4 linked regions of the Oreochromis niloticus genome follow. The protein of the gene in region 2 purifies or fractionates together with the protein of the main gene of each other region. This does not show direct contact. Links are inferred from orthologs where the notes say so. Each region holds a gene or a part of one and is shown on either strand. Other genes may lie near its edges. The genes, in order: prpf3, 7SK snRNA methylphosphate capping enzyme, srsf3b and lsm4.

What was found.
Region 1: the proteins of 7SK snRNA methylphosphate capping enzyme (region 2) and prpf3 purify together in Homo sapiens (affinity purification with mass spectrometry; 4 studies listed by BioGRID and IntAct, counting the BioPlex papers as one, with this or other methods). This does not show direct contact. The link is inferred for Oreochromis niloticus from reciprocal best matches to the Homo sapiens genes MEPCE and PRPF3.
Region 3: the proteins of 7SK snRNA methylphosphate capping enzyme (region 2) and srsf3b purify together in Homo sapiens (affinity purification with mass spectrometry; 3 studies listed by BioGRID and IntAct, with this or other methods). This does not show direct contact. The link is inferred for Oreochromis niloticus from reciprocal best matches to the Homo sapiens genes MEPCE and SRSF3.
Region 4: the proteins of 7SK snRNA methylphosphate capping enzyme (region 2) and lsm4 purify together in Homo sapiens (affinity purification with mass spectrometry; 3 studies listed by BioGRID and IntAct, with this or other methods). This does not show direct contact. The link is inferred for Oreochromis niloticus from reciprocal best matches to the Homo sapiens genes MEPCE and LSM4.

Annotation. Positions count from the first base shown.
Region 1 is NC_031976.2:21,498,653-21,506,275, forward strand, and holds the start of prpf3 (U4/U6 small nuclear ribonucleoprotein Prp3), read left to right. Parts: upstream 1-4,614; 5' UTR 4,615-4,776; intron 4,777-5,200; 5' UTR 5,201-5,209; coding exon 5,210-5,354; intron 5,355-5,953; coding exon 5,954-6,084; intron 6,085-6,476; coding exon 6,477-6,644; intron 6,645-6,757; coding exon 6,758-6,844; intron 6,845-6,949; coding exon 6,950-7,236; intron 7,237-7,355; coding exon 7,356-7,474; intron 7,475-7,575; coding exon 7,576-7,623. UniProt on the Homo sapiens protein: Plays a role in pre-mRNA splicing as component of the U4/U6-U5 tri-snRNP complex that is involved in spliceosome assembly, and as component of the precatalytic spliceosome (spliceosome B complex).
Region 2 is NC_031975.2:12,333,114-12,340,471, reverse strand, and holds the start of 7SK snRNA methylphosphate capping enzyme, read right to left. Parts: upstream 3,003-7,358; 5' UTR 2,864-3,002; exon of another isoform or gene 2,739-2,863; intron 2,718-2,738; exon of another isoform or gene 2,584-2,717; intron 2,123-2,583; 5' UTR 2,026-2,122; coding exon 214-2,025; intron 1-213. UniProt on the Homo sapiens protein: S-adenosyl-L-methionine-dependent methyltransferase that adds a methylphosphate cap at the 5'-end of 7SK snRNA (7SK RNA), leading to stabilize it.
Region 3 is NC_031970.2:21,883,378-21,890,465, reverse strand, and holds the start of srsf3b (serine/arginine-rich splicing factor 3b), read left to right. Parts: upstream 1-4,067; 5' UTR 4,068-4,212; intron 4,213-4,685; 5' UTR 4,686-4,693; coding exon 4,694-4,896; intron 4,897-5,301; coding exon 5,302-5,442; intron 5,443-7,088. Other genes in the region: S-adenosylhomocysteine hydrolase-like protein 1, read right to left, coding at 2,115-2,294. UniProt on the Homo sapiens protein: Splicing factor, which binds the consensus motif 5'-C[ACU][AU]C[ACU][AC]C-3' within pre-mRNA and promotes specific exons inclusion during alternative splicing.
Region 4 is NC_031980.2:32,135,582-32,143,128, forward strand, and holds the start of lsm4 (U6 snRNA-associated Sm-like protein LSm4), read left to right. Parts: upstream 1-4,544; 5' UTR 4,545-4,679; coding exon 4,680-4,682; intron 4,683-5,200; coding exon 5,201-5,242; intron 5,243-5,599; coding exon 5,600-5,698; intron 5,699-6,173; coding exon 6,174-6,354; intron 6,355-7,347; coding exon 7,348-7,466; 3' UTR 7,467-7,547. Other genes in the region: pyroglutamyl-peptidase 1, read right to left, coding at 642-675. UniProt on the Homo sapiens protein: Plays a role in pre-mRNA splicing as component of the U4/U6-U5 tri-snRNP complex that is involved in spliceosome assembly, and as component of the precatalytic spliceosome (spliceosome B complex).

The sequences.
Region 1 (7,623 bases), on a different chromosome or scaffold from region 2:
TTCTGGTTTTACTTTACTTTGGTCATGTTCAGTCATTGGTTTGTTTTTATTTTTATCACTAACGAAATATTGCCAAATAGTACTATCTCACAAACAGAACTGAAAAACTGTTATTCATGCTTTTGTTTCTTCGAGATTGGATTAGTGTAAATCATCACCAGTTATTTATTGTATATCTGTGTGTACATAGTGTATATATTAGTGTAACTCGTAATTGAGCAGCCTACACAAAGCATCATTGGACTGTTTGCAGACTGTACAGAATGCTGCCAGACTTCTGAACAAATCACCAAAGTTTTCTCATGTCACACTGCTACTCTCCCAGCTCCATTGGCATCCCATTGACTCGAGAATACATGTCAAGATTTTGGTTCTCACTTATAGGGCTCTGAATGGTCAAGCGCAAGCATGCATCTAAGAACTTTTACATCTGTATGGCCTTAGCAGATCCCTAAGGTCATCTGACCGAGGCCTGCTGTGCCACATGCAAGGGTAAAAACTAAAGGTGACAGAGCCTTATCTCAGTAGTAGCACCAGGACTCTGGAACTTTCTCCCCTTTAGTTTTAGGTCTGCAAACTCTGTTCAGCTTTTTTAAAAGCAACAAAAAATCTTTTTACAATTGCTTTTAATGAACTATTTCAATGTACTGATGTCTGATGTTTTTTGTTTTCTTTTGTTTAGCACTTTGTGATCAATATCTTTAAAGGTGCTATATAAATAACTAAACTCACTTTTGCTTACTTCATTGTATGAGATTGAAGACTAGGGGGTGGGCAGAGTCTTTCAGTCTGTGGCACCAAGGGTTTGGAAAAGTCTAACATTCCAGCTGCAGTGGGGAAAATAATTATTTCATCATCTGCTGAATTTGAAGGTTTGCTCACTTACAAAGAAATTAACAGTCTGTAATTTTAACGGTAGTTTTTTTTGAATGGACAGAATATCAATCAAAAATCCAGAAAATAAAACACGTTACATAAAAGTTACAAATTGACTTGCATGTCACTGAGTGAAGTAGGTTTTTGATCCCCAAAAAATGTGTTAGTGCTTGGTGGAGAAACAACTGTTGGCAAGCACAGTGGGAAGATATTTCTTTAGTTGGTCACGAGGTCTGCACACATCTCAGGAGGGATTTTGTGCCTTCTTGGGCAGGGAGACCTTATAGCATAGTGTTTTACCAATTGTGTTCTTGGTGACTGTGGTCCATTTATATTTATTCCATTTCATAATAATCACACCAACATTTGTCACCTTCTCAACAAGCTTCTTGCTGATGGTCTTGTGTAGATCTACAATCTTGTCCTTGATGTCATTGGACAGCTGTTTTGGTACTGGTGGTCAAAGTTGGAAAGAAAGAAATTGATTCTGTGAGCAGGTGTGCTTTCTAAACATAGCGAGTTAAGTTCGGGAGTATCTGTAATTGACTGAATGTAATTTGTGTGCCACATGGACACGCAGCCAATTTGTGGGAGGAAGAAGTGTGACTGGCACTTATTTCAGTTAAAGGCATGCAAATCAATGCATAACTTTTATGTGATGTGTTTTTTTCTGGATTTTTGGTTGATATTCTGTCCCTCTCTATTAAGATAAAAATTAGCGGCTATGCATTTTTTTTTTTCTAACTCAGCAAAACGTACAAATTCAGCAGGAGAATCAATTTTTCCCTACTGTACATTTAGCTGACTCTTCGACAATTGAATTCTTCTCTGTTTAACCACGCTTTCTATTGAAATTCTATTATTAATTATATTTTTATTGTCTTTTTTATTGTTATGTCTTCTACCATAGTTTTATATTGCTAGCACTTTATAAATAAACATCACTTACTTTCTATTTCGTCACTCCTTAAGGGACAACTTCATTTTTATTGAATGACTTTCTTTTTTTGTCTTTAGGTTTGTTTTAAAAGAATTTTAAACACTTGTCTGGTTCCCCCTTAGCGAGGTCAGGCCTGCAAACTTTGCTCATTGCAACTGCTGTAGTTTGAAGTTTGTTTGGCCGGGCATGCCTGGTGGAAAGCGTTGCCTCTGCCTATCAGGTCCAGCTGCCTGTGTCAGTCAAAGAGTCCATGAACCTAACTCCAGTATCCAGGTGGCTGTATAGGATAGTTGCCTGATAGTTATTGTTAGAAAAGGGCCAAAACATCCCTTGGGATTAACTTCTTGTTGGAACGGGCCTAAAGTGGCCACTAGAGGAACTAATGCAGTTTTTGGCACTTCCATATTGGCATCAGTTTTCAGCTCCAGAGGCAGCCACATTTGTACAACACATACAATGGAACAATAGTCACTGCTACTTGCAAATGTCATTACATAACTGACAGCCAACGAGGTCAATCTTGCCAGCAGCAGTTATTCTTGGGCAATATATCAGTGAATACCTAAAAACAACAACAACAACAAAAACAACCCAAGAAGCAATTACATACTCCACGTGCATATCTTCAAATGTTCTTGTTTTCCTGAACCAACAGAGCTTAACTCCATAATGTTCACTTTGATAATAGTTACCTTTAAAAAGCTGGAAGCCATGTGGTAAACTATTTTGCTTAAATTATGGTAAAATACATTTAATTTTCAATTGAAATAGTAGCTAATATATAAATCATTAGACTGTTTCAGATCAAAACATTGCATTGCAACTTGCATTCAACAATTTAAACAGAACAAGGAATAATTTACTACACTCAATAACTTAAATAAGTGATCAGTAAGACCTTGTTTTTGGGAAAACTAGATATATGACATTCTGATTTTCCTCAAGGTCACAGAGAAAAATGGTTTCAAAGTGAAAACAACAAAAGGCGTTTGTTGTGGTGGAAAAAGCATGTAATCAAAGTGCCTCAGATTTCCATGTATTATTCTGTGGTCCTAATTAGAGGCTTCCTTTAAACTACCAGATTTCCTTCCATATTCACACAACTTGGGTTGTAGTGTGCTTGTAAACATGGACGTAAATATTAAGTACATGAGTGATGAATCGGCAGGGGATGATGATGGAGGTGTGTTGTTCAGTAGGAGTAAATGAATGCATCTGTAATGACTATCTGACATTTTGGTGATAGAGAAAGAGCATGTGTTGTAACTAAAGCATGCTGCGTATGCAACTCTTCCTGATGGTTGCACGTGGCATTAGCACTGTGAGCGAAAGCATGGATGTGGTTTGCTGTAGACAGAGCGAGTCATTTGGCAGCCTGGTGTAGCCTCGGGCTCTCTGCAACTGATTCATGCTCACACTACTATAAGTGCACGCAGTTGACCCACATCATGCAAAGAGAGGGAAAAAAGTCAGGAGGCGGGCATTCAGGGGAAGGAAATGGAGATCATCTGATAATTTTTACCAGGGGACTGGGTTCATGACTGAGCTGCGGTTAATAATTAGGCAATATTTATGACTAGTTTGACTTCTGTGAAAATCATAGAAACACTGCGCTTTTAATATGAAGACAAAGCCCTATCATGAACCTTGTAAAGGAGAAATATGAGAATACTCTCTGCCAAAGCTCTTCATCAGCTATTTTTTCAATTTGGATTTTTATTTGCAATTCAGATCACTCTCTTAGTTCCCAGAATGTAAAACATTAGTTTTAATCCAGCTTTAACTAGTTTTGGTATTTGAAGTTGCCAGGGAAAAGATTTAACCTCTTAACAACCACCAAGTCACTGCTGATCCACTTAGTGGTAGGCTTATGCTGAATTTTACCAAGAAGATGAAGAAGCATAGTCTCAGAAACTAGAAGACATTATTACCCTTAATCCTAAACAGGTGACCTGGGTGAGGTTAAGAGGCCAAGAACATGATATGTATCAAAGAATAAACACTTTTTCCATACTTAAAAAAAAAACAAAAAACATTAATCTCACTTTACTGATGTATATACATATTGTTGTTATAGTAACATTAATTTTCAAGTCTATTCTTTATTTCAGTAACTAATTATTTCGATTACACCTAGTGTTCAGCTAGAGTTTCTATAAATATATTGCTCTGCAATTACATGATGCCAACAACTTGATAGTCAGTTAGCTTAGTTTGATTTAAATGGACAAAAGACTGCGTGTATCACCAGACAAATCTGCTAAAAAAAAAAAGTGTAATAAATTTTTCTATATACGTTTGACTTCTACCATCATTTTGTGCTGTTAGAGAATTTTAATCCAGGATCCAAAGACTGCCATGGCTCTCTATTATAATGTGTCCCATGTGTATTATAGCTAAATAGGCAGATTCATTAATGTGTTTTCGCTGGTGAAAATGAAAACTAGTTGGGGCTTGTATAAGGTTAGTTGAAGGAAAATGGGTTTGAAAGCGAACTCGTCAGGATAAAACGCAGTGTGCATAGTCACACCCACAAGACAGTTTTAATTCCTGGAAAAACCCTGAGCTGTGGGCATAATGCTATAACGACACAACATTAACCTGGTCAAGAACGAACTTTCACGGATAAATAAATTGCCTTAACCCTCAGATTTTTAAAACTATTTGGGAGAAATACGTTTTACCTTGTGGAAAACAGGGATATTTCCATACATGTGCAGATAGGTGGAAACACCGCACACTTGAAACGAAACGACTCTGCGGAAAAAGTCCACGAAGAAGAAGCTGCGTCCATTTCCTGTTCCGGGGCTTGAAACAGAAACGTCGTGCGGACGCGCGACTAAACAGAAAGTTTTGGAGAAAACTTCGCACGTTGAGTGTTTCACGCGTCTGAGTCTTCATCGTTTTTATTTGACCTCCACGGCGTAAACGGGCTGACTACGATAGAAGAGTAATCTAAGGTTTGTAAGCCTCATGAAGCAGTTATTCCCCGGTGATGGTAGCTCGCTTACACCAGTGTGCTAACGTTAGTTAGCATCTAACCAGGGAGGTTTGGCGGATGTGATTGATTTAACAATGTATGTTGCTACGGGCTGGCGCTTTAATTTAATCAGTCTGATTTAACACTCATCAACTAACAAAGTGCAGCAAGTTCGGAGTGACTGACTGTTTATGTGGGAGTTTTTATTAGTTGCAAACTGGTGAACGTCTGTGTCAGAGCAGCTGTAGCTAAGTGAATAAAGGACGGCGGGTTTTGGAGCTCATGTTTGGGACTATCACATTTGTGTGATATAGGACTAATCAAGGCCAGAAATCACGAAGATTTTGAGTAATAACCATGCTCAGTAGCGGTAATCCATGACATAAGTATTTGATGTCCTGCAGGATTGGAGGATGTCTCTTCCAAAGCGGGAGGTGGAGGAGTTGAGGCCATGGGTGGAACGCACTGTGAAGAAGGTGCTGGGTTTCTCGGAGCCCACTGTGGTGACTGCAGCATTGCACTGTGTGGGAAAGGGACTAGACAAAAGGAAGACCATAGGTAAGTTCGGAGAAATATCTCTTATTTATTTAGAGATCTGGTGACGATTCAATTCAGCCAAAAGTGCCTCTGACATCAGAGGTATATCCCAGGGTGATTTGTTTTACCTTCTTACAAAATGCACCCATCATTGCAGAGAAAAAAGTCCAGCCAAGTAGCAAGAGTCCAACAGCAGTCTGAAAACCTATCTGGCCTTCTTAGGAGTATTTGACATGACTACCAAGCTGTGGGTTCTTAACATAGTGCAGACAGCCAACCCACAAAATGATGGCGTGAGGATCTGCGATGTAGCTATCAGCAGGGCTTGTTTGCAAAGGTAATAGATTTGCTGTCCAGTTAAAATACTGCAGTCATTTGTTCATTCAAATGAAAGATTATGAGTACAAAGAAAGCTGCCTATTGCTTTTATTTGTTTGTTTGTTTATTTATTTATTTATTTCATCTGTCTGGGAAATAATTGCTTGGTCTGTTAGACTGTGACTTCTGTAGGTGCTGTAGTTTAAATGTCAGTGTATATTTTTATGTGGGTATTTAAGCTATTCTGTGGTAACAGTATTTTCTTTTCAGAGTGTTAATTATTTCATATTTATTGTCCTCAGACCAACTGCGTCCTTTTCTCGATGACTCTGCTGGAGGCTTTGTAGAGCGGCTTTTTGAAGCCCTCGAGGAGAGCCGCAGCACACGTGGGAACAAAGGATCTGGAGAAAAAAACCGGAAGAGAGAACTTAAGGTAACCTAACATCATAGCAAATGTTCATACTTTATATTATCATTATATAACTGAATAACTAGATCTGGAGGTGAGGAGTTTTCTGACAAAAAACACGCTCATAAGCAAAAGTGACCCGTTTAAAGAAATTAAATACATTGCATTCAATGCATGCAGTGATTAGTCTGATTGTGTTAAGCCTCAGTTTGATTAACTTAAACCTCAGTGTAAACATCCCCTTACACTTCCTTTACTCCAGCATTAGACTTAATTGAGGTTTCACTCAGATTGCACTTAACTTTAGTTCTACATGGACTGCACTGATACAATACTGATTATTCTTACGGAAAGTTTAATTGCTGCATAAGATATTTATTTTTATTGGTGTTTGTGTGTTTGCCGGTTGTACTCAGGATGTGTTTGGTGAAGAGGCTGACACAGGCGCAGTGCGAGAAACTCCCGAGCCAACAGATGGCACAACGGCAAAGAGGAAACGAGTCCCCCGTTTTGAGGAGGTGGAGCAACCTGAGGTGATACCAGGACCTCCATCAGAGAGCCCCGGCATGCTCACCAAAATGCAGGTACATGATACTTGGTGCAATAGACAGTAGACAATATATATATGTGTATATGTAAGTATAGTGGCTTTATTTTCTTTGTCAGTCACCTCTGAATCCTTTTGCTGTCCTAACAGATCAAACAGATGATGGAAGCAGCCACAAAACAGATCGAAGAAAGGAAGAAACAACTAAGCTTTACTGCTCCAGCTCCTGCTACAACAGTAATGAGATTTCTTTCCCATAAAAATACATACTGAATAAAGAACTGCCGCCTTTTCAGGCTGTAAATTCTATTTGAAACCTTTCTAATTTCTTTCTGACTCTAGCGGTTGCCTGTTCCCACTCCACAGTCGCAGCTGGATGCCCCTCCACTCTCTCGACTTCTTGGCACTGCTGGTGCTGCAGCAGCTGGTGGTGGGTCATCCATCGCTCCCTACCAGGCTGCCAGCTTCATGAATGATGCAATTGAGAAGGCCCGTAAAGCCGCTGAGCTACAGGCTCGCATTCAGTCCCAGTTAGCTATGAAACCTGGCATCCTCGGAGCTTTGGGGAACACTGGGCCACAAAACTTTGTGGCACTAGCTAATCTACATGCCATGGGGATTGCTCCACCGTAAGTGATGTCAGACTATAAATATAAGATTTTAAAATATGCACAAGACATGAAAAAAGTAGGTGATGTCTTTGTGCTCAATTGACATTGAACTGCTTTCTCTTTATGTGTAACTACAGCAAAGTAGAACCCAAGGAGGTGAACAAACCGACACCTCTTATCCTGGATGAGAAGGGAAGAACTGTAGATGCCAGTGGCAAAGAGGTTGAACTCACACACCGCATGCCTACGCTCAAAGGTACATACATGGATACAGTGATCCAATATTTGTACACAAACATGCACAATGTGTTTTCTTTGTTTTGATATTCCACAAAACATTTTTCTTTCCCTGTGTAGCTAACATTCGAGCAGTAAAGAGAGAGCAGTTCCGCCAGCAGCTGAAGG
Region 2 (7,358 bases):
TCTTGAGAGGCTGGTCAGTCCTCATAATGCACTCACATTTTTGTGCATTTTTACACATTTTATTCAGTTACCCTAACATTAATTTATAAAGCAGGACACACACAATGTCTAAATTTTTCTGAATTTGCCATCTAGGTTCAAAATATGCAGCAACACAGAAATCTGAGCCATATTCCCGAAAGGAAAAAAATAAATAAAAAAATCCTCTCTTACCTTGACGAAGGACACATTTGAAGGAAACTCCCCAGGCTGCACCGTGGATGTTTGTGTTAGCGGGGGTGCAGCAATGGGACCCCTGGAGATCCGTAGGGATACAGGAAAAGAGCAGCTCTCAGAGTGATCAGCGGGGGGTGAATCACAGTCTTCTTGCTCCATTTCCTCTGTTTTGCTGCCCTGCCTCTGGGTCTCCATCTCATCCGTGTGACACGACTCATTGTCATTTCCAGTATCTGCAGGGCCACTTTCTCCTTTCACAGGTTTCCCATTTTCGTCCCTGCTCTCGGCTTCATTGTGCTCTTTTTCTGTGCCCGTGTGACTCGCGTTTCCATTTGTCTCCTCCTGTTTACTAGTCTTTTTGCCCTGCATTGCTCGCCTGGCCTCTTGGGTCTGCAGCTCAGACAGATAATGTCTTATGTTTTTACGAGCTGCATGTATCAGACCACTGTCAATGTCTAGGCCCAATATGCGGGCGGGTCTTAGCATTTTGGCGATATAGAGTGTTACATGGCCTGAGTTGCACCCTAAATCCAGTACTTCTTTACCTCTAAACCACTCGGGACGAAGCAGACGTAAACGAGGGTCTTCACTGCAGCCCGGGTTGCGGTATCCATAATACTTGTTGTAATTCCCATACTGGAACTTCTTCTGCTGTTCCTTTGTATGAGAGTGGGGCTGCTGGTGCTGGCGTATTCCAGGGCCTATTTTGGAACCAGATTTTGGTGTGTGAAAGGAATTTCTTGCTCCCCCTGCACCAAAATGCCTGTCTCCAGGTCCCGACTTGCCAATTGGAGTAGAATGGGTGACAGGGGGCTCCATTTTGCCCGAGTTGCGCCTTCGCTTGCGTCTACTTGTGTGCTGGTACGGTGCCCCTAAAGTGGAATCCTCCACGGATGCAGGCGGCATCTCCTCCTTGCAGCTTGCTGAGCTGCAATCTGTGTGCTCGTGGGACTCTGCCATGACACTAGAAACACTACCGGATTCGTTGTTGGATTCTAGTGCAGAACATGAGGCTAAGGTACCTTGAAGAGGTACAGAAGGACCTATTTTAACTTCACTTTTTCCTGATTCTGAGAGGTTCATTTGTGTGGCTGAAATCCCAATACTGCCACCACTCCCACCTCCACCCCCATGGTGCCTGTTGCGGTGTCTCTTCCTTCCTCCACTCTTGAAGGGAGAAGCCAAAAAGCTGCTGTCAGCTATCCCACTGTTCAGGTTCAGTGGGTCTGTGATGTCCCTGGGGATGAGTATCTCCACAGGGTCTCGACTTTTTGCTGGCAGCGGAGAGGATTTGGGAGTCTCTGCATTCAGCGCCTTGTTGACCTCCTCATCCAGCAGGCTGTTGAGATTCAGCGGGTCAAAAATGTTCCCACCCAAGAGGAAGTTGGTGGGCAGGACAGAATCGCTCTCAGAGTTGGCCCTTCGTCGCCGTTTGCCAGATGAAGGATGCTTGAAACTAGAATTTGCTGTGTAGCGCCGCTTTGTTAGCTTCGTTTGTTGTTGCTGTTGTTGTTGTTGTTGTTGTTTGGAATGATGAAAGCTATTTCTGCGATTGATGCTATTCTCGTTCCCTCTGGCTCTCTGTCCAGCATTGTCTGCGAGGGTGAGCGCATCAGTTGTGCTGGTGTGTTTTGGCGAGGCAGCAGTGCCCAGAAGAGGGCAAGCAGCTGCAAAGTCAGGGGTAGCTGCAGTTTCCTCCATCATCACAGACACACCACCGTAACCTCCAGGACAATCCGTGAGCTGCAGAGATGACGTCGAGCTAGGCTGTGGACTGCCCATTTTTGCTGTATCCTCATCAACAGACATCTCTTTTGATTTTCAGAGCTGATGAAGACATAGAAGGGTTTTTTGTTGTTGTTGTTGTTTTTGTTTTTTTTGGGGGGTGGGGGGCAATTTTCTGAGCCTGAAAAACAAAAGAAACAAAGAAGTTACAGGAAGGAAAACTGATGCCATAAACTTAACATTCTTTTAGATATGGTGAACAAAATTGCTTTAAACCTGGTGCCTCCTCATTGTTGTGATTACACACATACACACACACACACACACATACACACACACACACACACACACATACACACACACACACATCTGTTAAGTAAAGTAACATAAGTTGGCTAATATTACTACAAAAATATGCTCAAGGCATCCTGGGATGTCCAGGCACTTGCACATCCAAGGGCCACTGTATCTGTATTTATACCTATGAGGTGGGAGTTAAAAAATAACCCTTTACATTCCACTGTGATTTCCTAATAACAATACAGAAAATTCATCTTTTTAGATACAGTGAATCTCTTGGCTCACACCCTTATCACATCTGTATTGTGGTATCTGAAGCGTGTCTACACAGGGGTTGCTGACCTGAAAAGTTTAGGAGTCCCCGTCTGGCACTGTTACCCAGTTAGCAAGCTAGCTCTTAGCTTCTCTATCGCGGGCCAAGAAGATTGAAACGTCGAGTAAACGTTACGCTCTACTCCGGCCAGAAAGCGCTACCAGACAAGCACCAAAGTACCCACCTCGATATGCTGCTGCCCGAACCCCACTAAAATCGTGAGTCACACTCACGAAAGTGATACCATTTCCCAGATGGCCACGCGTAGTCAACAGGGTAGCAACCACCATCAAAATATAACAGTCTCACCTCGCAGCTCGCGGCTCTCCCCGCCTCCGGCCGGACTGTCACTACCCCGCACTCTCTCCGCTTGAGCTAACGTTAGCGCAGCTAGCACACAAGTGTCCCTACAGCGACACAACAGTGCTAAGCTACGCAAACAAGCGAGCAGGCACGGCTCGGGTATCCTGCACTGGCCTGTAGGCAGCAAAGGCTCCGGTGGCCACGAAACTGTCTTGTCGACTTCTTCAGTCAACTCCTAGTGGGCCAGTGTGAGGCAGGTTGGTGAATAAATTATTCCATTCGCTGACAGAGGCGGCATGGCGGCGCATCCGGGCTCCGAGCTGTAGCCCAAGATGACTGGGGCGGAGATCTCTGACTGGTGGCTGCGAGGCGGTGAGGAGAACTCCCCTCTACGATATTATAATGAGCCTCCTACTGCAGGTAACATTAGAGCCGATGATAGTTTTGTTATTGATTGATTAGCAGCTTAAATTTAATTCATTTATTAGACAATATATGAAAGGGAACAACTTAACAAAACAGGAGGGCTGAGGGACACTCTAAAGTGAACATAGAGCTTTCCCGCCTTGGTTAACTACCCTGACTATCAATTCAGCTAGTTGAGATTAGTTTCTTTGTTGCTACTCGATTATTCGACTAATTTGTTTAGTCCTAAAGTCAGACTTTAATCCATACACCCTTACAGCCCTAGTAGACTAATAGTAGAGTAGGCCTTATTAGTAACCTGAGTATTGCATAGCCTGCACATTAGGTTTTTATAAAGTTTACTGATAAGCAGCAACCTCACAGTTTCCTTTTGTATGTTCTTTCCCAACTGATGTGCATGCACTTTTGCAAATGCACGTTTCTAATTATGCATGTCAGAGGTATCAAACATGAGGACTGGGGGCGAGAATCAACCGGCAAAAGCAGCCCACTGAATGGCTTTGGAAAATGTGAAGGAGGACGTAAACTATTTATATTCAACAGAATTTTAACAACTTCTACAGCGTTCCCCCGTGCCTTGGCCATTTATACTACAACAAAGTAAATAATACACAAACAATTAAAAAACATAAAGTTCCAGTTTTTCACTATCTACTGTAGAAATGTATGATTTTTACAGTGGGTTAATCGTATAAATAAAAGACATTCAAGACATTGACAAAATGTTTTTGTTTCAACATTTTAGAACAGTCTTTGCAATTTTTCTCTAATTTTACACATTTATTTTTTATGCCCTTTTTCCCCTAGTATTAAAATATTTCAAACATTAAATATGTAGTGGCCAAACAATCCCTGTAGTTATAATCCCTAAAAATCACAGCTACTGCCTTTTCCTCACACACACACACACACACACACACACACACACACACACACACACACGTCCTCTTTTTAGTACAGAGTTTTGTAACATGAAGGTATATAGTGTGATGAGAGCTCACACTACACATCTTCAGGCATAATCACACCCTTTGTAGCTACATGCATACCTTCATAGGGTGTGAACTTATTTTTGCTTTTAGTTTTGAAACTGGATGCCTCTGTCCCACTGCAGCCTTTGCTTAACTGTCTGCATGATGTCAAAGACTGATTAACACAGAATTTCCTCACACTAAATGAAAATAAGACTGAAGTTATGGTTTTTGGAACTCATGCCCTTTGAACAAGTTAACTGATACCCTCGGTCCTCTTGCTTCTCATCTTTCTCACACCATAAGGAATCTCAGAGTGTTTTTAGACAGCTCCTTTAAATTAGAGAAGCAAGTGTCCACAGTTCTGAAAACAAGTTTTTATCAGTTACGTGAAATTGGCAAAGCTAAGCCTTATCTTCCTCCAAGAGACCTAGAAACACTTATTCATGCCTTCATCACCTCTAGACTGGACTACTGCAATTCTCTCTATTTGGGTCTTCAATACTCATCTCTCCATCGCTTGCAGTTAGTCCAAAATGCTGCTGAGCGTCTTTTAACAGGTGTTAGAATGTATGAACATATCACTCCAGTTTTACCAAATTTACACCGGCTCCCTGTAAAGTATCGTATTGATTTTAAGATTCTTTTATTTACTTTTAAAGTTTTAAATAATATGGCGCCCAGTTATATAAAGAAATCCCTCAACATGTATGACCCCAAAAGAGTGCTGAGATCATCTAACTAGATGCTCTTAGCACAACCGAGGTCTCTATTGAAGCATAGAGGAGATTGGGCCTTCGCAGCAGCAGCACCCAGACTCTGGAATAATCTACCAGAGGATATTCGTACTTCAGAGTCTATTCAGTCTTTTAAATCACGTCTTAAAACTTTTTTACTTTGGCTTTTAATTCGAGTTCAGTTTGAGTACCATCAGGCCTGTTTTATGTTTTTAATGTTAATTCGTTTTCTTCTCATTTATCTGTATTTGTTTCTAATTTATCTATATTTGTTTCCCTATTGCTTTCTCTTGTTCTTAACTGATTGTGAAGGACTTTGGTTAACTCTGTTGTTTTTAAATGTGCTATACAAATAAATTTTGAATTGAGTTGAATTTTGGTACCATAGCTTTGATTCAAACTTCAAAGTTAATTTAGATGACAGACTTTACAAGAAAGCCCTGTAAAGTGTGTCATAATTTCTATCTTGACCAGTGTTTACAGCAGGGTTTTCAAACTCATTTTACATGTGAGGTCAAATACAGCGCATGTCAGTAAAAATGCCCTTTCTGTCAGTTGGAATAAGTTTAGATGCACATTTTATTCCTGCCATATTTCAGTATAAGAAAAAATAAAGTGCAATTTTAACAGCACATCTCAGTTGTACTGCATGGTAGAGAAATGCCACTCTGTTTAATTAAAGAAATTTGTCAACATGAATCTTTTGGGCTTAAATTGTAAAACATAAATGTGTAAAATTACAGAAGAAGTTCTGGCAGCTCATTGTGCAGACTGTCCTGTAATTATAATGGAGAAAGTTTTTCTTAACTCACAAAAAAATGGAAAACAGAAATTTCTATTGTGGGTTGTGTGGGAAAAAAAGAAGCAAATTTTTTTGTAATTTAATTGTTTATCTATTACGTTGGTGTACTATTAAAGACATAATCAGTCAGAAAAGCTTTACAATTTTTGAAAGTAGACTTAAAACTCTACAATGTATGAGGGGTGGCTGTGGCTCAGGTGGTAGAGCAGATCAGCTACTGATTGGAAGGTTGGTGGTTCGATTCCTGGCTCCTCCAGTCTGCATGCCAAATATCCTTGGGCAAGATACTAACCCCAAATTGCCTTCAGATGCGTTCATCGGAGTGTAAATGTGTGTGAATTATGTGCTTATTAGTTGCACTTGAGTTTAGAAGTGCTTGTATGAGTGGGTGTCATTGGGTGAATGAGGCATGTTGTCTAGAGCGCTTTGAGTACTCCGGGAGAGTAGAAAAGCACTATATAAGAATCAGTCCATTTACCATCTCCTTCACATTTTTCAAAGATGTCTGATTCTGGGCCTTTTGTTTAACACCCCTGGTCTAAACTGAGCCTTTTATAAACCTCTGCATCAGCTAGAAATTGTGTGCAGTGTACAGGCAGCTTCTTTTCACTTCCATCACCTTTGAATTATAATTATCAAAATTTTAAGACACGGAAAACTTTGATTTTGGTGGTGACAAAGAAAACATTTACTGAAAATGATAGATTTTCAGTGAAATGATAGATTTTCAGTAAATGTATAGCTTTGTCCGTCATTGAAACAGAAACCCTAAATGCATAAAAAAATAGGTGTGAACTGAACTAAGCCTCACTGTGTTATGGCCGCGATGTTGAGCTGATTTTACATCATGTCCACAGTAAAGTTACATAAAGTGAGCTTGACCTAAATCATAAATGTTTGAAGTTATAGAAAAGGTTCTGGTAGTTCATTATTCAGGCTGTCCTGTTATTATAAATTAAAATATGAAGTTTATACTAACTCAAAGAAAACGTCCGTGTACTTTGATTTTGGTGGATGGATCAAGTAAAAGTTGTAAAAGGTATGAAACTACAATTAAAAGTTCAAAAAGCACTCCTTGACATTTTATAAACTGAGTGGGCTGGGTTGGAGTCCTCTTTGTTATCATTTTTAAGCAGGGGCAAGAGATACTGGGATTTCTTTTATCTTGATTTTAAAACCTTTTGGAAGATAACATACTCACTTAAAATAACAGTTAACAGTCCAACCCTAAAGTGAATCTCTGGACATGTCATGTTTTATACCCTGTATTTTTTTAGCTAGTTTTTTTTTTCAGTTTGGTTTTCTATAATACAAATTAAATGGAGGTAGCACGGTGGTCCGGGGTCTTTCTGTGTGGAGTTTGCGTGTTCTCCCCGTGTTTGTGTGGGTTCCCTCCGGGTACTCAGACTTCCTCCCACCGTCCAAAGACATGCAGTTTGTGGGGATAGGTTAATTGATTAATCCAAATTTCCTATAGGTGTGAATGCGGGAGTGAATGTGAGTGTGAATGGTTGTCTGTCTCTGTGTGTTGGCCCTGCGACAGACTGGCGACCTGTCCAGGGTGT
Region 3 (7,088 bases), on a different chromosome or scaffold from region 2:
CTCTCAAGGTGCTCCAATGCAAACAGAGGACAGAGAGATTGCCCCACCTCAGCAGTTTCTGGAATGTGTTGGAGTTTTCTATCCAAGTGTCAGATTTAAAGGTCAGCCTAGAAAATAAATGATATACATGCATAACAATTACTTCCACAGTTTGCCTTTTGTTTTTCTTCCCACAGTTGCCAAGTGCTCGCTCAAGGGGTCGTCTGATTGTTGAGTCTTAACCTTACGATATAAAAGCACCTTAAGGCGACTGTTTTGTGATTTGGCGCTATATAAATAAAACATGAATTGAACAACTGTAAATGAAATATTCTCATCATTCCAATTAATTATCTTGACTTGAGGTGTCCCATCCACATACCTGCTAAACACCATGGTAACAGAAGACAATGAGGAGCGGTCTTCTTGCGATTTAGGTGAAAAACACCACATAGTTCAGCAGGGTGGTGTAGGTTTCAGGGTCCCAAGGCCCAACTGAATGAAACATACTGTTTTATGTGAGCTGTTGGGGGGGTTTACCAGAATGATTGAGTACGTGGTTAGCACAGACTCAAAGGTATTGAGACTGTATTACTATATTTAATCAAGACTCTGTGCATGTTACTATGATTTCCGGCCATTTGATAAACAAAAAATGTATTCCAGAGGAAATGAAACCCCTTTTTTTTTTTTTTGTAGTCATGTTTTATATAGTGGGCGGAAGACACATCTGTCTGTATATTCATCACATGGAACCTAAAGTTAAAAGTGAAGTAAGGGCTAGATAATTAAAAAAATGAATCTGAGCACATACCATTTGGCAATATTTTAAGGAAAATTTAAAACTTCTTTTTGTGTGTGCTTTTTCCCCCAGTCTGTTACAATATTGTTCTTTGCCATCTGTGATTGAATCACCCTTGTTTCTTTATTTTAAATTCCTGTCAAAGAGATTACAGTCTTTCTGATATCACAACTCCAGGAAGCCCAGACTTAACCATTATCCCTCCAATTCGGACTGTAAATAATTAGTAAGCTTGAAACTTAAATGTCTTTCACTAAATATGTAAGAATACATAAGCATTACATTTAAAATAAAAGGTCAGTAAGCTCAACTGTGCTGTCATAAAGAACACTTATCAACATGTCCTCTATGTTCACATTTCCCAGTTCTTCTTGATATCAACTGAGCACAACTATTTTGAATCCAACAATACAAAAACTTTGAACTCTTTGGTCAAATGTTTGGCTCCTGACTTTGCAAGCTAGTGACTGCTTCAGTGTAAAGATCCTCCCTAAAACGGTATGAGGATGTGAAACAGTCATGTATAACAAGAACGCCTAGCTAATATGTTCTTGGCTGAGCATGCGGACGCTTGCATTTGACAGACTCCGTGCCCCATGTCGAGCTATATGCTTTCCAAATGCAAAAACTGTTGCATTGTGTTCATTTGTCCACTTCAGTGCAACTCATATGGAGTGTGCAAACACTGTCCATTCAGCCTCAAAAGTGAAAGGTGCAGCTCTTCCTTGTTCCTGGAGTGTGTCAAATAACTTATTTTTGCAAGTTTTACAGGGAACAAGTGGTTCTTTTGTTTCGCAAATTCAGGTCAGAAGCCGCTGCTGAAAGTATGCTGAAACTGTAAAGACCCTTGAAGTAAATTTGGGATTTGTAATAAGGGGGATATGTGAATAAAAATGCACAATTATAAAGTTTTAGTGTTATTATTAGAGGTGTGAGCCATTATAGACATGCAGAAAATGCTTAAATTGCTTGAGACTTGACGTGTGACTCTTTAATTACTTAATGTGGGTTTAAACAACTTTTTAATTCTCTTGTCACACACACACACAATAGCAATGTGTGTGGACTGTTATGATACCACAGATACCCTAACCCCCTGTGACATATAACTCATTAGTACCATATATATTTTCTTAAAATCAGGAGTCTTTGAGCTCTAGTAAAATGTATTCAAGGTGCAAAAAGAAGGCTAAGTCTGACTATACAAATACCCTTAAACAAAGAAGATACAGCACCTATAAAGTGCTGTTATCGCGCTAAAAAAAAAAAGAGCCTTGGAGGTTTGTTTTAATATCCAACGGTGCCGTTATGCTTACACCTGGCGCAGACTTACCTTTTTAACCGGTTTGTGAGTGGGCACAGCGCTGAAGACAGTCGACAGCTCTCCCATGGTTATTTCGCTGTTTTTGCTCACAGTCATGGCTGAATATTTTTCCGCTACGTTCTCGCTCTCCTTCACCTCTTTGCTCGCTTGCTTCACCTCCAGCTTCGCTTCTCCGACCGGTTCGGACATCTCGCCGCTGGCTTATCTATCTTTACCCGGACAGAAATACAACAACCAACCGTTGAGCCTTCTCTAACGTCAGAGGCTAGCGTTATGTTATGGGTGTCCTCGAACTGCTAGCTGGTTACGTCGCAACTGCTAACGGAAAAGAGACTGTCAGATTGGGGGCACGTGAGAGCAGGCAATAAACGCAGGATTTAAGCAGGTGGTTTTGCCTAGTCGACTTTGATTTGGTTGTGAATCGTTACGTAGTCGACTTCTTAACGCAGGCAGGACGTGGTCCGTGCTGTTTCCCGGCTGGCTCTCCTGTCACCTGGCTGGCCAACTTTGTGGGCGGTTACTAACAGACTGAGTGGGCGGCTCGCGTGTTAAGCTACGTTCAGGGTAACTCGGATAGCACGCAACGAATGATGAACGCGTCCTTTAATTTATATTTTAATGTATATATATTGCCTTTTTGGCCAAATTTGACATGTTAGATCCCGTTATAGTATAGTACTTTCTGTTTTGTGAGATATGGCGGACGTATGTAACTTTAACTTTACAGTTACAGTTTCCCCCACATTTTAGTCGTGATCTAAGCACGAAGTATGTCCCAATTCCACACTGTAAATAAAGTCAATGAACATACGGTGTACTCATTTGTTTTGGCAGGGAGTAAAGCAGCCTTTGTACTCAGGAAATTGGACGTGTATCAGTTATCCGTGGATCAAGCTATTATGTTGGAAAACCACTGGCAGAAAAATCTTAGAAAAATCTTGCCAAGGAAATACAACCATAACACGTTTTATTTATTATTTTTTCCCACTTCTTTTCTGAATGATGAAGTTATCTTATTAGCCACAACTTACTCTTTTCAAAAACAGAAAAATTTCTGTTTTCCAATATGCATTACATTTATACATTAGTATCTCAGTAATAATAAAGTGATATTTTGCATTTGCAGTCACAACGAATTATCACCCTTGTCACTTATCAGAAAGGGTATAGACAGACGAACTATGATACTGTATGTGGAAGTCAGGGTTGTTAAAAAAAAAAAGTAGGTGAGTATGTGAGATTGGTGCAGGACACGAGGACAGCAAAATAGGGGTGAGGTGTGTGGTAGGAGTGAAGGATGGATTCAAGGTGGGCGGGTGATTACATCAGAGGATCGGCAATGTAGTCCCTTCTCGTTTGGAGGAGTGATGGACAGGCTAAGAGATGAGGTCAGACAGGAGTCTATGTGGACTATAATGTTTGTAGACAACATTGTGATCAGTAGTGAGGGTAGGGAGCTGGTGGAAGAGGTTTGGACACAAAGTTAGAGCGGCAAGGCTGAGATGGATTGGACGTGCAGAGTTGGGATAGTGAATATATTTTACAAGGGATGTTGAAAATGAAGGTGCAACGCAGTAGAAAAAGCGAAAGACCACAGATAAGATTCATGGATGTAGTGAAGTAGAGCATGATGAGGGCTGGAGGCCAGGGATAGGGTGAAATGAAGACAGATGACCAGATGACCACTGTGGCGGAGACCCCTAAGGGAGCAACCGAGAGAAGAAGAGTCCTAAAGTGCTTTATTGTACAGAGTACAATTTATTTACCTTTATTAGTTCAAATATCTCTATTTCTCTCAATATCATTTGAAGAAATACTTTACATCAATTTAACTATGCTATGTAACTCGTTAGTAACAGTAACATAATTTTTCCTTGAGCGCTGGTAAATGTATAAACTTGGACAAATCGCGGCTCAAGACTTTTGCACAGAAGTGTAGCTGCGGGGGTTGGGGTTAGGCAAAGGAAGGAGGCGACATTAACCCCGCCCTCTCGGAAGTGGCATCCTGTTACTCCACTGACGTCACGCCATTTTCCACCGAAGACGAAAAGGCACAATTTAGCCGGGTCACAATCGATCATCTGAGCTGATATTTACATCTAAAACGGTAGCGTTTCAACTTATTGTGTTGTAATATGTTTGTAAAACGACCTGTTGTGAGTTTACTTCACATATGTGAATGTATAGTATAAATTTCTGCGGCTGCTAGCCGAGTGCCGCTACCGCTGAGTAGGCCTCGGTAGGCGGCAGCCATTTTAGCTCCCCGTAAATAAGCTGTTAGCTATCATTACCTTCGAAACACAGTGCAGCGTCGAATATGCAACAATATAGTTGGAGATATAAAGCAAACGAGTTAACTAAGGCATTTTGGGATTCGCTTCGTCTGGATGTTTTTTTGGTTTTTTTAGCTTCCGTTAGCATAACCTGCAAATCCAGCGCAGATAGTAGGCCAAGCTCTCTATTCGTTTGTGGGTCATTAGGCAGCATGTATTGCACTGTGGTTCATGGCTGAGCGAGAGAGAGTGTGACCAGTCTTTGTCTTAGAGCTAAAACATTAATATTATTCTGCTCATTTTTCAGATACAGTCATGCATCGTGACTGTCCCCTTGACTGCAAGGTCTACGTTGGAAATCTCGGCAACAATGGAAACAAGACAGAGTTAGAAAGAGCATTTGGCTACTATGGTCCTCTCCGGAGTGTTTGGGTGGCCAGGAACCCCCCAGGCTTTGCCTTTGTAGAGTTCGAAGATCCCAGAGATGCAACTGATGCCGTGCGGGAGCTTGATGGAAGGTAGGTGGCAATCTATTCAAGTGTTTTTATGCATGCTCAATCATCCAGGTCAGGAAAGTGGACTCTGTTCATCTGGACATGGCGTTTTCAGGGGAAGAACGCTGCATCCACATGAATAGTCTACTTAAATTAAAGTATTGCTATTGGATCAGTACTACTCTTTCCTCCAAGTTCAGTACATTGCTCCCATTCCGCAGAAAGGAGAGCTCCTCTCATGCAGTCACACTTTTAACAAAGATAATGTGTTATTGGTCATCACATCTATTACATTAGCAGACATTTAGACTCTTCAGACATTCAAATAATGGCCCACTGAAGTGTGCTAAGTACGTCATTTTATTGGAAATGAGGAAAAATACTTTCTTTTCATGTTTTGTTTTTTTTCTTTTTCTTTTTCTTTTGCAGGACTTTGTGTGGCTGTCGGGTGCGTGTGGAGCTATCTACTGGCGAGAAGCGTAGCCGCACTCGGGGTGCTCCCCCTTCATGGAGCAGGCGTCCTAGAGACCGAGACGACTACAGGCGGCGTAGCCCACCACCCAGACGCAGGTGACATACATGTTGTTGTTGGCCAGTGGACACGATAACCAATCTATTCTGCACTTTATTCTTGCTTGGTCACTTACCGGTTCAACTTTCTTGCCCACAGTACAGTTCCCTTTAATTGCATTTGGGTTTCCAGTGTAGGTATTTCTAGTGTTTGTGACCTTTTCTGGTGATTATATATTTGTGGGTGTTGCAATGCCTAAGGCTTGCAGATTCATCTTCATTGACATTAATGGTCATTTTATGGAAGGAGCCACACAGATAGTCATTCACCATCATATAGTGGAAAAAGGGGCATTATTTCAGAATGTAGAGAGGGCTGCCTTTCTGTTTCTGAGGCATCTAAAGTGTGGTCTGCAAGACCTAGGTTATACTTAAGGCACAAATGCTTCCTTTGAAACGCACGTTTTTGTGCAGTCTCATTTGAACTGTTTTAAAAAGGCAAAAATGGGTGTGGGGAAACAGATTTAGGCAGTCGGTAAAAGTATAGGCTAAGTATAAGTATACGTTTTGGGGGGAATAAAAGTGCCAAATGTGATGCAAATTTTTTTCTTTTTGTTTGAGGATGCTTTTTATTTTTCATCTATATTAATAAGAATGAACCCGTTGCAGAGCCACCACCATGCCTCTTCTCACCACCCTCTGAGTCAATCAACTAGTCCTCTTTCAGCATCATGTGACTGCTGATCATCGGGCCGCAATCAGCTTGGCTGGTGCTGTCACATGACCCAGGCATGGCCAGTCGTCAGGTTGCACCAGCCCATTGGTTCCTCAGCATGCCGTTCTCAACCTCCTCCTCCTTCAACCTTAACCCAAACGGCAGCGGCCACCTCACATTCCCGACCAATCAGCGTATTACGTTCCCAAATGTCTACAACCTGCCAGCAGCAGCCTTCGGCTAACCAATTAAAGCAGGAAAAAAGCCACAGCCAGCCCCCATCTGCCTGCCACCTAATCACCTTGCAGCATCTGGCCAGTCCTATTCAGCCAATTCTACCCACCCGGCCGACAGTCTGCCTCCCTTTCGTCATTTCTAGCTTGTTGAAAACCAAAAATACTAGTAAGTTTTCCTGCTTCATTCAGTACACTGCTGATTACAGTTTTAAAAGTGAAGAGACAGCTGGTTTAAAAGGGTTGTTCTTTTTTTTTTTATTATTATTATTTTGATCATAAGTTTGTCATTTTGTCGTCCACCATTTCTGTAGTCCTTGTTTCAAAGGGGGATGGACCAACATCAAATATCTGGAACATCATGTTTCCAGAGATTTCGATGATAGATAATCATCTGGTATGTCTTGGGGCTCTGAGCAGAATTATGAAGTCACATCAAAACTTTCCTTAAACACCCCCTATGAATATCAGATCTTTTTTTCGTGTGTGTGTGTGTGTGTTCCCGGTTTGAGATCTTAGCCTGGCTGTTTCACGAGGCTTATTCCCTGTGAAAAATAAATTTTGGTACCAATTTCTGTACATTTTTCCCTTAAAGTGCAGTGGACTGAATTCATACAGATGGTGGCCCAAATGGTGTGCTGGGTTTTTGATTCCCCACATCAGAGCCGATCCACAGTACGATATCAAATTACCTTAAGATGGAAATCCTGCTGGTGTTTCATGCCTCAGAGCTCTGAATCTACTGCTTAAGAATCACG
Region 4 (7,547 bases), on a different chromosome or scaffold from region 2:
TAATTCAAAGCAATAAAGAATAAAAAACAATAATTTAGGCTAAAGATTTCATGATTAAACTCTCTCTGTCTTGTGTTTTCAACTTTATCTATTGTTCATCTGTCTATATTTACTGACATAACTCCTATGATATCCATTTTTTAAAACTGAAATAATTTCAATAATGTCCCAAGTCACAACTAACAACATCTAATATTTATGAAAATATATGCATTATTACCTTTGCTGCCATATGGTATGTGCTCATCATTAGTGACTAATACTTCAGATGAACACGGGATATTTGAAAGCATTTAGAAACAAATATTATACCGTATCCATAGAGCAAAAAAAAATGTGTAATAAAAAGATGATATAAATAAAAAGGGAGTAATTTGTTTACTGTCTGCGGCCTTTCAGCTGAAGTAATCTAACACACTGGTGAGATCACCGAACCGGTCTGTAGCGTGTAACTATTCAATAATGCCTCCCCCCAAAACTCTAAAGGGTCAGAACTCCCACAAAAGTACTCGTTTCTTTCTGTACAGTTGCAACAGAGTGGAGCAGGAACGACCTGACGCCATTAATGGAGCAGCTTTAGTCTCCTCAACTTTTCCTCAACAGACAAAAGAGACAACGACAGCGGATAAAAGAGCCCAAACCTGTAACGACCACAGCCCGTTTACTGTTATCCATCTCCCGTCCCGATCACGAGGAACCGCTGCCTCTTTTTTCTCGGTCTTTACTTTGAACAGGGTTAGAGTGAGAGTCCACCCCGCAGAGCTGACGGCTCCTTCTCCCACACACAAACCGGAGGTACTCCCTCCTTCCGCAGGCAGCCTAAGACGTGACGTGATTACGTCAGCAAAAATACGTTTTTGAAAGATTTTTTTAAATAGTTTTTTTTAAAATTTTATTTGACAAACAGTGAGTATACAACATACGAAAAGATGAAGTATACAGAAGAACAGAACATGAACACACAAAACCAGGGGTAAAAAGAAAAAAGTAATAATTATATGAATACACGCAAAAATTCACATATATATATTGTTTTGAGAGCCTTTTTGTTGGTGGAGTCTGATATTGATTGTATGTACAATTCCACATGCTTAAGAAAATGACAGAAATATGGTGTTTTATTAGTAAACTTACATTTATGGATAAAAAATTTAGCTAAAAGTATTAACAAATTTATTATAAAAAACATTTATCATTCTTCTTGGGGAACTTAAAGAAACAGAATAAAACATTTTCCCATCGTAAAGAAAACTCCCTTAAAATATGGACAATAACAAACCTGCTAAATTCCTTCCAGAATCTCTGTGTAGAAGAACAGTACCAAAAAAGATGTGTCACAGTTTCTGGATGATCCCCACAGAAAGTACAATTAGTATTTATGTCTCTTTTAAATTTTACCATGTAGTGACTGGCAGGATAACATTTATGTAGAATTTTAAATGAAACTTCCTTCACCTTATTTACAATCAAATATTTATGGGGGATCATCCAGACTGTCTTCCAGTTGATATCTGGAACATATCGGTTCCAGTAAGATATTATATATGGGAGAGAGACGATATCCCCTTGGAATAAACTGCGTATTCTCTTATTGCTGTCACCAAGTTCCTGTGAAAAGCAGATTTTCCCTACTGCTGACTCAGCTGTATCTGGGAGAGTGAGTGAGGTAGATATTGAGCTGTCAGTGTTTTTATATAACATTAAAGTACCTGAGGGTATGGCACCAAGCACCATTGAGAATTCCCGAACACTGACTGGAAAATTATATAGTGCAATAAAGTCGTTGTAAGTAAGTAGTTGTCCCCCTTTATTAACCAGCTGAGCCACCAATAGGATCGCATTTTGGACCCAAGTTTCCAGGAAAAGTGATTTATTTTCAAATAAAATATCTCTGTTGTTCCAGATGAGGTATTTGTGTGGTGAGAAGTTGTGTTTATAAATGAGGGTCCATGCTAAGAGGACCTGCTTATGGAAGGATGAGAGTTTTACAGGGAGTTTCTCAACATTGTAATTACAATATAAAATTAAAGCTGCAAGCAGCGATACGAGGGCCCTCGCACCCCGGCACGTCGAGCCAAGCCCAACACCTAAAACCAGCGCGTCCGATCTGATGTTATATTGATGGAATTCATGCATTTAACCACCAGCTAACATTTCATCTAAATCAACCATTATTATAGTCGTCCCACTAGGTGGCGCTCTAACCATTACTGACAAATGCCATAACAAACATTTCCGAGCTCGAGTCTCATCACGCCTGCGACCTTTGGGAGAGACTGGACATTGTATTTTTGAGTGACAGCAGATTACTGCTTTTTGGCGAGTGATTGAAACTCCACGTGCCACCATGACCACCCCGTTTCCCTGAACGTAAAAAGCTTCGCAATTTAACATCACAAAGGTCTTTAGATTCCACACACAGGAGATCGCGGCAATATGATGAAATCCCTTGGAGGAGTTCGTCAAAGAACGAGGCCTGAAAAGAGGGGAAAATGTCGCCAAAATTACACATTCATTTTAAAATAGCCGACTTCCTGTTGGATTTGGGATATTGCTCCAAGAGACTTTTTTGTACATCTTGATATCTCCCACAAGCTTACCAGGTTTCAGACTCATATATAAAACACAGAGCAGGGGCTGTTGTTTTGAAATTGTGTAGGGGGCGCTGTGGAGCCATTTTGCACTATTCAAGGAAAGTGATCACATAACAACAAAGCCCTCATCACATTGGAGGTGTGCGCCAAATTTCAAGACTTTTTAAACTTTCCAAGCCCCTCAAAAGCCACTTCATCTTTCATGGTGAACCGCGTTGCCACCAGGGTGCGCCGTTCAGTTTAAAGTCACAATTTTCGCACTGAAGCATCATGATGGACTGATCGTGATATTCACCGCTTTTGAGGTGGCCACGACGAACCTGTGAAAACCTGCGTATTCCTGACAATGGTCACATCAATCTGTTCAGGGCGGGTCTGACATCATGCCTGTAAAGTCTGGTGCTGATGCTGATCAGTCTGGATTTCATTGAGCTATACTAATTTGTTTCTTCATGGCGAGACATCAAAGTTCGCCATGCTGCTGGGGTCACACCCTTTCGCGAAAAGTCACAGATTTCACTGTAAAGCAAGACCAACTCCTTAAGGCTTTCCTGGAGAAATTTGAGGCTGCAGATGTCACCCATCATAATACTGAACCCCAAAGTATAAAACATGACATTTCCTGCTCCCACTAGGTGGCGCTGTCCCTGATGTCAAATATGGCAGTTGAAATATGTTCAGGGCTGGAGCCTTATCGTATGTGTGCTCTTTGGTCCAGATGGGACAATGTATGACAGAATGAAAGGCAATAATATTTTCATGGCAAGTCATCGAAATAACCCCTCCAAACGGGTCTTATACTTTCCTGATAGTGGTTTTAATGGGGGTTTTTTCTATTACCTCTTTGTCTGTTTCTATTGCTCATTTATTTATTTGTTTAATTAAAAAATATAAATCCATCCATTTCCTGCGTTGAAGATGTAACTTCAAAAATTAACATTATTTTCATTTTCTATTAAACTATTTACATTACTGTGCAAACGTCTTGAGCTACCCGTTTTTTTATATTTTGCAAATAAAATGGGAACTAGGTGCATTGAAGCATGTGCAAACATACATGAAAATACAGAATACAAAGCAAAAAACAGTCTATACAATTCTAACCAGCATGAAAGTCAATATTTACCTTAATTCTTCAACACAACTTGAACTCTATTAAGGTTTCTTGTGACCGTTTTTTAATATAGCTGTTTACTTAAATGATATAGGTCAGTGTAAGTGGTATTAGAAAGAAAGAAAAAAATAAAAAGCATATCTCTGAAAATGGTCAACTATTAGGATGGACTGTAAATGAGTTAAAAAGCAATGAATTTCTAAGGAAAACCTTTGAAAGACCTTCAGAAAGCCTGGAGAGCTGTTGCTAATAACCGCTTTAAAATAAGAAGAAAGTGGTTATGGTTGTATTCTACCTTATAATGATGAACAATGTGTTGAACTCTGTGTTTTTGGCTGTTGACCTGCTTTTGGATTTCATGTAAATCGTGTGTCTCATATATGAAAACTTTTCAGTTATTTGGATAATTCTCCTCCATTTCCCAGTGTATTTGTTGACTTTAACAATCAATAGTTTTAAACAATTGGTAAGGGACTAAAAATGTAAGAAGAAAGAAGAATAGTATTCCTTAAATAACTAATCTAACTGTTTGCTCACCACCAAAACGCCATACAGTCTCCGGTTATCAGTTTTTAAATCTGTGAGAAAACATGGTTCAGATAAAGGGGATTTTTTGCTAAATTAAACACCCACTGGTGAATTATCTTTATAAATAAAACAAATGAAGGATATCTTAAGTATATCTTGGGAATAGGAGAGATGCAGCATATAAAAAATGCAATTTTATTTTTATATCTAATTATTTTGATATTTTTTACTTTACTTATTCTTATTAAAGTGGCACATTTTAATCGTTGCACCTTTCATTTGTTCTCATTTAATATTGGAAATGCGTGTTTCTGACAGTAGAGGGCAGCATCATATAATACAGTCATGAATGCGCCTCGCAGCACCGGAAGACAAAGAGTAACAGTAGGTGGGAAAATCGTGTTAGCAAGTAAGACACTAAAAGAAAAAAAGAAACCATCAAAATGGTGAGTTGTTAAAACTTTTCTTCTCTTCAGTGGCGCTGAGAGTGCTAGATTTTCAGCTAGCACTCTCAGTGCTAGCAGCATCGCCTTGCCTCTCCATACTCGGTACGTTAGCTATGTGAAGTTAGCTTAGCAGCTAAATTAAGCATCGATTACGTACACTAGTTGTTTTTAAATAAGTGCAGACTTAATACATAGCTTTAGAAAGCTTTTAGGTCATGCTCGACGTGCTGAGGCGGGGATTTATAATCTTATTTAGCTCCATACTCTTGCAGTTTTAAGGTTACTGACAGTTCATAGGAGTCGGTGAGTAAACGACGTAGACCTGAAGGCACTCTTAAAAAACCTGAACATAAGAGCACCTTCATGTCTACGCTAAACACCGCGGCTATGGAGACGTTTTCTTTGGACTATAACACTCCTGGCTGTTTTATGTACTCTCGCTTCAGTGCTCACTTCGGTAAATGCCGTTGATTACACACGTTTCGCCATGTTTGACCTGGTTCTCTTTTGTTTTGCAGCTTCCCTTGTCTCTGCTGAAGACTGCCCAGAACCACCCTATGGTGAGACTGACTTGGACCATGTATACAATTTTATATAACAGGCTGTAAAAAAAATATAATCGTGAGGAGAGAAAGTGACATCTCAAGATTTCTTACATGTAGAAAGCAGTGAATTGTAAGTGTGTGAGCAGAAAATGATTCAGGTTTCTTTTGAAATTTATACTGTATATAATTGTGGCTTCAGCTCTCTCATTTTATTTTGCTAAACTATAGCCAGTCCTAATTTCTTTTTAGAACTTTAATTGGCACAAGTTCAGTTTATTTTTTGTAGTGAGTATTGAAACTTTTAATACAGCTCTGAATTCTGAAAATATTCTAAGACAAGTTTTTTCCCCCCCTCATCTTTTCTCTCTGTAGTTGGTGGAGCTGAAGAATGGAGAGACGTACAACGGTCACCTGGTCAGTTGTGATAACTGGATGAACATCAACCTGAGAGAAGTCATCTGCACATCCAGGGTAACACTGACCTTGCTCTTACAATAAAGCTCTAGATTAATGACTGATGGTTAGAAAAGACAGTTTTCAGTGTTGTGTGCAGAGATATCATCGTTTTATATAAAGGCTGAGTAAGTTATTCACACTTTTTGGTGGATACACCTGCTGGCTGGCTGCGCTCTGGTGTTTGTGCACAGCCCTGCTTTTCTCTAACTGTTCCAAAAACACTGATTTGGACTGAGCCACACATTACTCTAGCTAAATAGCTACAGGGAATTTTGAATGGGAAAGAGGAATGAGAGTGAACTTCTGGATTTTTTTTTCCTTTTGCTGTAAATACACTACTAAAGTATTGTTTCAGTACAGATATTTCTATATATGTAGCTGTTTGGTCTTACGAGAGAGTGCTTTTTTTTTTTTCTTTTTCTTTTCTTTTAATCTTGAGTTAATTGTTAAGCCAATTTGATGGAACGACAGCCCCACTCCCCTCTCACAGGATGGAGATAAGTTCTGGAGAATGCCTGAGTGCTACATCCGAGGAAGCACCATCAAATATCTGCGAATCCCAGATGAAATCATCGATATGGTGAAGGAGGAGGTGGTGTCGAAGGGGCGTGGACGTGGAGGCGCCCAGCAGAACAAACAGCAGGGCAAAGGAAGAGGAGCAGGTGGCCGAGGTGAGTGGAAGCAGCTTTTGTTGTTCGTGCTGGATGTCTTAATAAACATGGGACAGTATTGAGTATTGTTTCCACATTTCTGTCAGTTCTTTCCAGAGTGTTTGTAAATAAACAAATTTACACCTGATAAATGTAAAAATAAATTATCCAAGTTCAACTTTAATTTCACTGAGGTTAAAGAATTATCGAATCCCTAACCATTCTAGGAACCCATGACTATTATCGTAATCATAGCTGAAATTTCTGACAGCTTCTACCACATATGTTTATGGATGATTTGACCAACAGGAGCCTCATAACTTTTTCTTATAAGTGTTTAATTTAAAGTCTTTTCATATCTACTACCTTCCTTTTTTTGTTCACATGAGAGGATTGTGGCTGCTTCACATCAAAACCTGATATGATTTGTAAAAGATATTAAACAGATCTTCCCAGTTGGGCAGCACGGTGGTGTGGTAGTCAAAAATGTGGCCTCTCAGAATGAAGGTCCTGGGTTTGATTGCATTGTGGTTTCTGTAGGCCTCCAAATCTGCTCGCAAAGTTGGACATCCACAGATATTTTGGGGATTTGAAGGATTTATGTTAACTTAAGGTACACTCTTGAAAGTCTGTACTGCTAGAGCCGTAGTACCAGATATTTCCGTATTTCCATAGACCTAGCTAAGGTACTTTTCTTAGAAAATGGAGTTTTAATTCCCAAGTGCATCTTTCACCCCTGATTTTCTTTTTCCTCTGACAAACTTGTGATAGTCAGGTGTGAGGCATTTCCAGTTATTAAACGTATATTGGTCTTTACTTGGTGTTGGTGGCAGGTTCTTTATAACTTTACATTTTTCTGTTTTCAGTGATACATACCAATTCTCCTTAACTGTATTATTAATTTTATTTATTTTCAATGAATTTTAAATATTAAGATTTGTTCATATTTACAGGGGATTGGGAATACTTTCTGTTACCTGATCTAACACAGGCTTTCTCTCACTTTCTCTGTAGGTCTGTTTGGCAGCCGTGGCAGAGGGATGACCGGCCCCGGTCGGGGTCAGCAGCAGCAGCAGCAGCAGCAGTCAGATAAGAAACCAGGAAAACCACAGGGAATGAAGAACCAGCACTGACAGACGACGCTGCACCTCTGACAACGTCCTGTTAATCAGTGATTCTTCCTTCAGCACATGAAGAAAAAAAATCTCTTTGGT